Tribolium castaneum: one gene and its partner. Each later gene encodes a partner of the first gene's protein in a complex. Links are inferred from orthologs where the notes say so. Each region holds a gene or a part of one and is shown on either strand. Other genes may lie near its edges.

The links.
Region 2: the proteins of Sfmbt (region 1) and Scm are in contact, whole or in part, in a crystal structure (PDB 5J8Y), measured with the Drosophila melanogaster proteins. The link is inferred for Tribolium castaneum from reciprocal best matches to the Drosophila melanogaster genes Sfmbt and Scm. Residues at the interface, in NP_001260432.1 of Drosophila melanogaster: Lys1176, Asp1177, Met1180, Met1185, Lys1186, Val1187, Gly1188, Pro1189, Leu1191, Lys1192, Asp1195; in NP_001247006.1 of Drosophila melanogaster: Lys831, His832, Glu833, Ile834, Asp835, Lys837, Ala838, Leu841, Leu842, Met846, Lys849, Tyr850, Met851.

Annotation. Positions count from the first base shown.
Region 1 is NC_087402.1:1,710,535-1,714,799, reverse strand, and holds the start of Sfmbt (polycomb protein Sfmbt), read left to right. Parts: upstream 1-1,163; 5' UTR 1,164-1,308; coding exon 1,309-1,315; intron 1,316-1,569; coding exon 1,570-1,772; intron 1,773-1,822; coding exon 1,823-2,066; intron 2,067-2,341; coding exon 2,342-3,279; intron 3,280-4,265. Other genes in the region: serine hydrolase-like protein, read right to left, coding at 1-714, 768-816. UniProt on the Drosophila melanogaster protein: Polycomb group (PcG) protein that binds to the Polycomb response elements (PREs) found in the regulatory regions of many genes.
Region 2 is NC_087400.1:404,679-409,031, reverse strand, and holds the start of Scm (polycomb protein Scm), read left to right. Parts: upstream 1-1,420; 5' UTR 1,421-1,640; coding exon 1,641-2,316; intron 2,317-4,167; coding exon 4,168-4,353. Other genes in the region: Non3 (ribosome production factor 2 homolog), read left to right, coding at 925-1,223. UniProt on the Drosophila melanogaster protein: Polycomb group (PcG) protein. PcG proteins act by forming multiprotein complexes, which are required to maintain the transcriptionally repressive state of homeotic genes throughout development.

The DNA of each region.
Region 1 (4,265 bases):
TGACCCCTTTCATGTACATTTGCTGCAACTCTGAGTCGCGCCCCAAAACCATCAAAACGGGGCACGTGACCGGAAACTTTTTCAACGTTTCGAGAATGTACCGAAAATCGTGGATCGGGTTTATAAACTGTTTCATCCTCTGGTCGACCGTAAAGGCGTATTTCCCGTCGTCGGTCCTCTCAATCGCCCTTTGGAGCAGCGCCTCGGCCGCCTCACGACTGATGTAGCCGTTGGCCCTTTGGTCCTGCAGTTTCTGTAAGGCTTCGGCGTAAGTGTACGTTGGACGGGTCCCAGTTTTAATTTTCTGGTCCAATTCGATGCAAAAGTCCATCTTGTCCCTGAGGTTTTGCCGGAATTGGCCCGCATGGACGGGGAACAAGTGGATAGTGTCGAGCATTATCAGCTTTTCCACATATTCGGGGTACAGTTGGGCGAATAAAAAGGCGATCTGGCCCCCGTAGCTGTGCCCCAAAATCGTGTACTTTTCTTTTTTGAAATACTGGACTATTATTTTGTAAACTAGGACGTTATTAAGGGTGTAGGCTGGGAAAAACGGGGGGAAATGGCTCGATTTTCCGTGACCGGGCAAGTCGAAGCAAATGTAGCAAAATGATTTGGGGAGGAGCGGAATTAGGCGGTCAAATGAGCCCGCGTTGTCCATGATTCCGTGGAAAACGAGCACGAGAGGGTCGTTTTTGTTGCCCCATATTTTGGCTACGGTGACATAACCTCAGTTGTGATTATATTAGTGGTGTGGGGTTATTTACCTGCCAGGTGGCCCCAAGGTACCGTTATTGTGATTTCTTCAGTGTTCATTATGGTTATCACTTATCAATTACTTGTGTGGATGTGGCACCCGGTTATTCGTAACACGATTTTTTAATATTGTTCTAATAACTAATTTTGCTTATTTATTATTGTTTTATCACAGGTACAAGTTACAAGGTTTGCTCTTGCGTCACGTCTCCAGATCATTACAATAAAACAGCAATAAAGCGTCTCATTTTTGATAACAGATTTTGGGCAAAAAAAATGTTAAGTCATTGTGGGCTCATTACGTGTGATAATGAATCATAAGTTGTTATTATGTTATGCTGATAAGAGTGATAATGTTTTGGAGTTTTGAATTGGGCGCCCGGCTTGGGGTTTTTGTCGGCGGAGGTGCGTGGTTGGCAGCAGGTGTTCTCAAAAAATTCACAAATGATGCGTTCGGTGGACAGGCTGAGTGTAAATTTTACCACATTTTATAAATGAAAATTATCACAGTTCGGCTGTCGCATTAGTTAGGAATAAATTTGGCCATCGGAAATGAACGGTACAATTTTGATTATCTAGTATAGGTCCCGTCCAGTCCCAATAAAACGGCGAAGAATTGCATGCCATTCTTCTGGTTAATTACATTGCATTCTTTGTTTGTAATTACAATTGGCTTTGTAATTGAATAATCACTCGGTGTGAGCTGGTTATTTATCGATTGGGATTTAATCTTGAATAATAGATTTCGAGCGATTGATTTTGCCCCGTTTTAAAATTGTAGGTTATATAATTAGACAATTACATTGATTTTAGTGTACACAATGCCCGGAGTGGCCGACATGGGCATGGTCTGGATGGGTGCTGGGCAGCCCAACCCCGACATGTCCATGGAACTCATGTCCGGGGACAACTCGGACATGCTGCTGGAGCACGAGAACCCATATTTCACCCCATCCATACACAGCATGTCCAACCAGTCCATGGACGATATCCACACTATCCACAGCTCGCAAATGGTAAAGCCAGCTCTTTGTGCTTTGTTTTGGTGCTTAGTGGGTTATTTTAGGACGCTATGGAAAACCTAGATATGATGCAATATATCGACATGAAGCACGAAAGTAACGACTCAAGTTATGCCGAAGATGATAGTCAGAACCCTGTATATATGATAAACTCTGCCACGCAAACATTGCCCTGCTCTACGCGGAAAATCAAACCAATCAAACACCCTGGGTTGGTTTTGAAAACACCAATAGCCTACCAAAGCAATACGGACCCCTCAGTCATACCAATTCAAAAAGATGGAATTGGTGAGTTGCCCACAACCCCCTTGACGGCACGGACTTCACGCTGGGGTGTTAAATTTTATTTGTAAAAAACGGACAAAATTAAATTTTTCTTCTTATGACCATGTTGTCAGGTCTGGTAATTTTTTACCAAATCTCATAAAAACTTTTCGTTTTTTCTTTATTACTACACAAAAGAAAGTAAATCATCTTTACAAAGATATTGAAACATGCTTAAGCCGCTGGTTAAATCAAAAGTATTAAAAAATAATAATTGACAAAATGTTGAATTTTTCCAGCTGTTTGCGAGAAGTGCGGCGCCATCGGCGTCAAGCACGCCTTTTACACCCGAGAGCGCCGCTTCTGCAGCATGGCTTGCGCCCGCGGCTACAGCGGCCTGATCCCCGAGCCCTTGCCCCTGTCCCAGCAGCAAACCCCCGAACACCACCATTTCGCCAAACACCGCTTCACCATGAAAACCGAAGACGACTTTGCCAACACAGTCGTCGACCAGGAATTCCCCCAGCTGCCCCCACCGCCAGTGCTGCCCCCCATCGACGAAACAGTCCCGCTAATCCGTCGCAAGCCCTCCGAACTGGCGAACTCGCACGACTGGGATTCGCAATTAAACGACCAGTATTTCGTGGCAGCCCCTGTCACGTGTTTCAAACACGCGCCCATGTCCGACATTTGGGAGAATATCATGGTCGGGATGAAAGTCGAAGTGGAAAATACCGACTGTGATAACGTCTCAGAGGCGTTTCCCGACTCGTTTTGGGTGGCTACTGTTTTAAAAATCGTGGGGTATAAGGCGTTGCTGCGGTACGAGGGGTTCGGGTCGAATGATTCCAAAGATTTTTGGGTCTCGTTGTGTTCGAATCAGGTGCATCCGGTCGGGTGGTGCGCCACGAGGGGGAAGCCCCTGATTCCGCCGAAAACGATCGAGGACAAGTATAACGATTGGAAGGATTTTTTGAGCAAGAGGTTGACGGGGGCACGCACGTTACCGTCGAATTTTAGCAATAAAGCGAGTGATAGTCTTAAGTCTAGATTTCAATGCGGCCTTAATTTAGAAGTTGTCGACAAAAATAGAATTTCGCAAGTTAAGGTTGCCATTATTCATAAAATCGTGGGGAAGAGGCTGAATGTGAAGTATTTTAATATGCCGTCGGATGATGCGGGGTTTTGGTGTCACGAGGACTCGCCGCTTCTTCATCCCGTTGGCTGGGCAAAGAAGGTGGGTGATGTGATGGAAAAATAGTATATTATAGAGTGGGATTAAGGCACTTTGGTCCCGAGATATATACGCTATTTTTTGCACTAAGATACTTTAGTTTCTGTCTACAGGCACTGTAGTCATTTATTCTCTATGGAAAACACGCATTGATCACTTATTTAAAACGATACAGAAAATAATAACAATTTGTCTTGAAAATACTTGAAAATTTTAATCAAGAAGTGCAAATAATTTAATTATTATAGGCGTCCGTTTGTAACAACAGCTTATAACAATCTGAATAAACTCAAACGGTTCATTAGAATATTCATTGTGTAAGAATATTGATAAATCGTCATTAACAAAAAATGTAATTTGCAAACATGGTCAAATAATTCAGTTATTCTGACTAATTTTTTTCGGATTAAATTGACAAAATCTTTATTTGTCAAATTTATGGAAGGAAAATTTTTAAATAAATAGTATCCAACTCCAAAATATACATACTCGCTTTTAGTCTTTTTAGTTTTAAATAAAGGAAACCACAGAAAGTGGTTAACAAACTAGTGGTCTTACGTGAGCTGCAAAAAAATTGTTCAGAGATAAATCGATAAAAACTTTATTCGTCTTCTTTACTGAGGAAAAATTCTTAAATTAAATAAATTTTGTCTTTTGCTAAACGCCAATTATTTGAAATAAGTGCTTAGCTATTTAGAAACTGAAATTTTAAATGTGACACACCCAAGATCGCAAAAACGATTATTAATTCTAAACTTTCGTACCTTTTGGCCCTTTGCTGTCACAATCCAGTCACTTTTATTTAACAACTCGAATTTTTATTTAAATTTAAATAATTAAATAAATGAGAACACAGAGAGTAATCTGCACAATTCAAACGCGAACAAAAGACTGATGTAGAATACGCAACTAATAAGTCTTATCTCGGGCCGCAAAAAATTTGTTCGGGAATAAATAGACAAAAAGTTTATTCGTCATATTGACGGAGA
Region 2 (4,353 bases), on another chromosome or scaffold:
TACTTGACCATCGGCAAAATGACGGAAATCCGACACTTGAGCGCCTTTGAATGACTTTGGGGCCTAAATGGTTGGAGATAGAGATATGGTCTTGGGGACTTTTTTAAAGGAAATTTAATTCTCTACAACTTTCCTCTGAACATTTTTCTTGTATCTGTAACCGTATTCGCAGCGTTTTGAAAAATATGGGGCAGAGTGCAAATCGGTAAAACTTTGAAATTTTTTAAAATATAGTTTAAGATATAATTTTTTCACTATTTTTATCTCATATTATTAAGAATTTGATTCTCTATCTGCCTGTATTTTTTATTTGCCTTGTGCTAACCGTTATTTAATTACAATTTTTATAAATTTATTGCTCTGAAAACAGACGGTAATAGAACAACTGCGCCTCTGGCGGCATTAATCGAACTATCGAGGACGGGGACGTTTTATTTGTACGTCGTTTTTTACGAGATTTTTTAGGATTGCTAGAAATATTTTATTTAAGCTTTGAACGTTTTCAGATAAAAAAATTCACAATCAGTCACATCTCAGTATCGGTCAATTTTTTTTGTATATCTTATTATTTTAAACACATATTAAAAAAATATATTGAATTTTCTAATTTTGTTGAGCCAAAAAACCTCAATTCTCGTCAAAGCTGTGGTTAAAGTTTTTATTTTGATTTAATAATACAGTTAAATTTAATACATACAGTTTTGCACCAAAAAAATGACAATTTTACAATTTTTTTATTTGTAATTGTACAATAAATAATCTCCCTAATAAACATTAAACATCGTATTTTTTTCTGGCAAAATCTCCAAGTGAACATATTGAAAGAAATATAAAGAAATAAACTTGACGATTTTTTTTCTTTATAAATTTTTTGAGTGTTTTCTTTTTTTTTGAATTTTAGAAATTATCAAATATTTTTTGCAGGTCCCAGAATAGACCTCAGCCTTCGCCGAAGCAAACTCCCCAGCGAAGACCTAATGAAAGAAGCCTTGCGCAAACCTAAAGAACTCAAAGTGAGCAAAAAGAAGAACATTAGTGTTGACGGCTTGGGCACAACCCACGGACGCATCCACGTCGGTAAACAAGAAATCAACAAAATCCAAACCCGCAAAATGAAGGGCTTGAAAAAAACCACCGACGAAAAGAAACTCAAACGAGCAGCAAAGAGAACAACTGACAATAACAATGTAAATAATAAAGTCAAAAAGCAAAAGCTTGGATAACGCGTCGGTGCAATCTTGTTGATGATTATTGTGTATAAATGGTTAAATTGTCTAGTTCTAAGGCTAGTTTTACGTGTATTTTTTATTTAATGACTATTTCAATAAACTTTTTTTATAAAAAAAAAAGGGAAAAATTGTGCGTTGTAGCGAAAATCCCCTAGAACACAGTCTAGTGATTTTGGGTTTCCATGTTGGTGTAATATACACAAACATAACGCGTTGTTGACATTTCGACGTCGTTGACATTGTGATGTATTTTTCCGTTTAATCCCGGTTTTGCGTCACTACCCCACTGCAGGCGCCCCCAGTGGTCTTTCCGATGTAATCGGTGCCGTAGCCCGTGCGACAGTTCTCCCCCGCCATGCCCCCAGCGCCCGCCTGATTTTGGAGGTAAACTGATGTTTTTGAAATCGTGCGATGTCGAGTAACCCCAACCCGACGCCGGGCAAGGTGCGGGGCCCCGGCCGGCCCCCCAAGAAGATCATCTCGTGCACGTGGTGCAACGAGAGCAAGCTGCCCCTCAAGTACGTGCTGCCGACCACCAACGGCAAGAAGGAGTTCTGCTCGGAGACATGTCTCGCCGAGTTCCGCAAGGCCTACATCAAGGGGGCCTGCCTCCAGTGCGACAACGTGGTCCGGGGCGCCAACAGCCCCTCGAAGGACTTCTGCTCGACGTACTGCATGAACAAGTACCAGAAGAAGGCCGAGTTGCAGAATCGGGTGGCTGCGGTCGCCCCCACGACGCCGCTCGAGGCCTCGCCGGGCCCCTTCCAGTACGAGACGTATCAGCCGTTCGACTGGGACGAGTATCTCAAAGAGACGAACTCGGTGGCGGCGCCCGCGAGCTGCTTCAAGCAGGCGGTGACGCCGCCACATAACGAGTTCAAAGTGTCGATGAAGTTGGAGGCGTTGGATCCCAGGAATGTCACCTCCACGTGCATTGCCACGGTGATCACGGTCCTGGGATCCAGGCTCAGGTTGAGGCTGGATGGGAGTGATAATAAGAATGATTTTTGGAGACTGGTTGACTCGAAGGAGATTAATCCCGTGGGGCATTGTGAGAAGTCAGGGGGGATGCTACAGCCCCCATTGGGTAAGGAAAAAATTAACAAAACCAAAATACAATGTTTTGAGTCTGAAATAATGTTTTAGAGACAATTTATTTTTTGTTATTTATAAATTTGCAGTTTATTTGCTTATTAATAAAATTATGTGGTAATAATTCTACTTAGAACTATAAGTTAGGAGACGAAACGAGATACAAAATCGCACCCAAAGATGTAGTACCGCAGTGTAAAAATGAGGGCGCTTTCAGCGTTGTGTCAAATCGTTTTAAATTAATTTAAATTCAACCAGTTGACTAATTACTTGGAAAAAAAATACAGAAATATTGAACTTTGCATTCTTAACAGACTGAGAAAAACTGACGACTAAAATTTTCATGAGAAACATGAGAAAAAAATTATTTAAAATTAAAAATTTGCACTTCGACTCGTATTTTTCAAAACGCTGCGAATACGGTTAAAGATACAAGAAAAATGTTCAGAAGAAAGTTGTAGAGAATTAAATTTCCTTTAAAAAAGTCAGCGAAACCGTATCTTTATCTTCAATAGTTTAGGCCCTAAAAACGTTCAAGCGACAGATTTCCTTAAATTTTTCGGTGGTTGAGTATTGGGAAGTGGATTTATACCCAAACCGTTGAAGATAGAAATATGGTGTCGCGGACTTTTTTGTAGCAAATTTAATTCTCTACAACGTCGTACCTTTCACTTTTTTGTATCTTTAAAAGTTTTCGCAGCGTTTTGATAAATAGGCGACGGTGCCCAAAAATTATCACTTAGAATTATTGCGTTCTTTTTGCAAACGCAGCGAATACGGTTGAAGATACAAAAAATTGAAAGACACGAGGTTGTAGAGAATTAAATTTTCTACAAAAAAGTCCGCGACACGATATGTCTATCTCCAACGGTTTAGTTATAAATAAATTTTCCAATACTTGACCATCGGCAAAATGACGGAAATCCGACACTTGAGCGCCTTTGAATGACTTTGGGGCCTAAATGGTTGGAGGTAGACATATGGTCTTGGGGACTTTTTTAAAGGAAATTTAATTCTCTACAACTTTCCTCTGAACATTTTTCTTGTATCTGTAACCGTATTCGCAGCGTTTTGAAAAATATGGGGCAGTGTGCAAATCGGTAAAACTTTGAAATTTTTTAAAATATAGTTTAAGATATAATTTTTTCACTATTTTTATCTCATATTATTAAGAATTTGATTCTCTATCTGCCTGTATTTTTTATTTGCCTTGTGCTAACCGTTATTTAATTACAATTTTTATAAATTTATTGCTCTGAAAACAGACGGTAATGGAACAAGTGCGCTTCTGGCGACATTAATGGGGACGTTTTATTTGTACATCGTATTTTAAATTAAACTAGTTATTGATTTGTGAACATTGTTTTAATAATTAATTCCTAGTAAAGTGTCTCAAATTTGAATAAATATATCGTACGTTTCGTGGAAGTATTTAAAGCGATAAAAACTGTTGTTTTGTTCGGTGGGATATTGATTGAAGTGTAAAACAAATGAATAATAAATCAAGTAAAGGGAGTGCTTTTAATCACTTGTCGAACAAACTTTAATTAGAGAGAAGTAAATAATAGAGAATACTAATGACTGTTCTAAGCCTTGTAGCTGTTATCTAATGAATAAGTGATACTATAAGGAACGCAACACTGTTAAAATACAAGAAAGTTTACCTTTTTTCACTTCAGAAAAAAACAAACAAACAAATTTAAACACTTTGACATGAGGATTTCAATTTTTGCTTTCTCAGTGAAAACAATGTGATAAATTATACAAATATGTAATAATTAATAAGTTTCTCAATTTCAAGTCTCTTGTCTCTTGCAAAAACTGTATGAGGACAAAAAAATTTCAGGTTTTCGCATGAACGCGAGTTCGTGGCCGATGTTCCTCACGAAAACGCTCAACGGTGCCCTAATGGCCCCCGCCAACATATTCCAAAAAGAGCCCCCAAGTCCCAAATGCAACCTATTCCAAGTTGGGCAAAAACTCGAAGCTGTTGATAAGAAAAACCCCCAATTGATATGTTGTGCTACAGTCG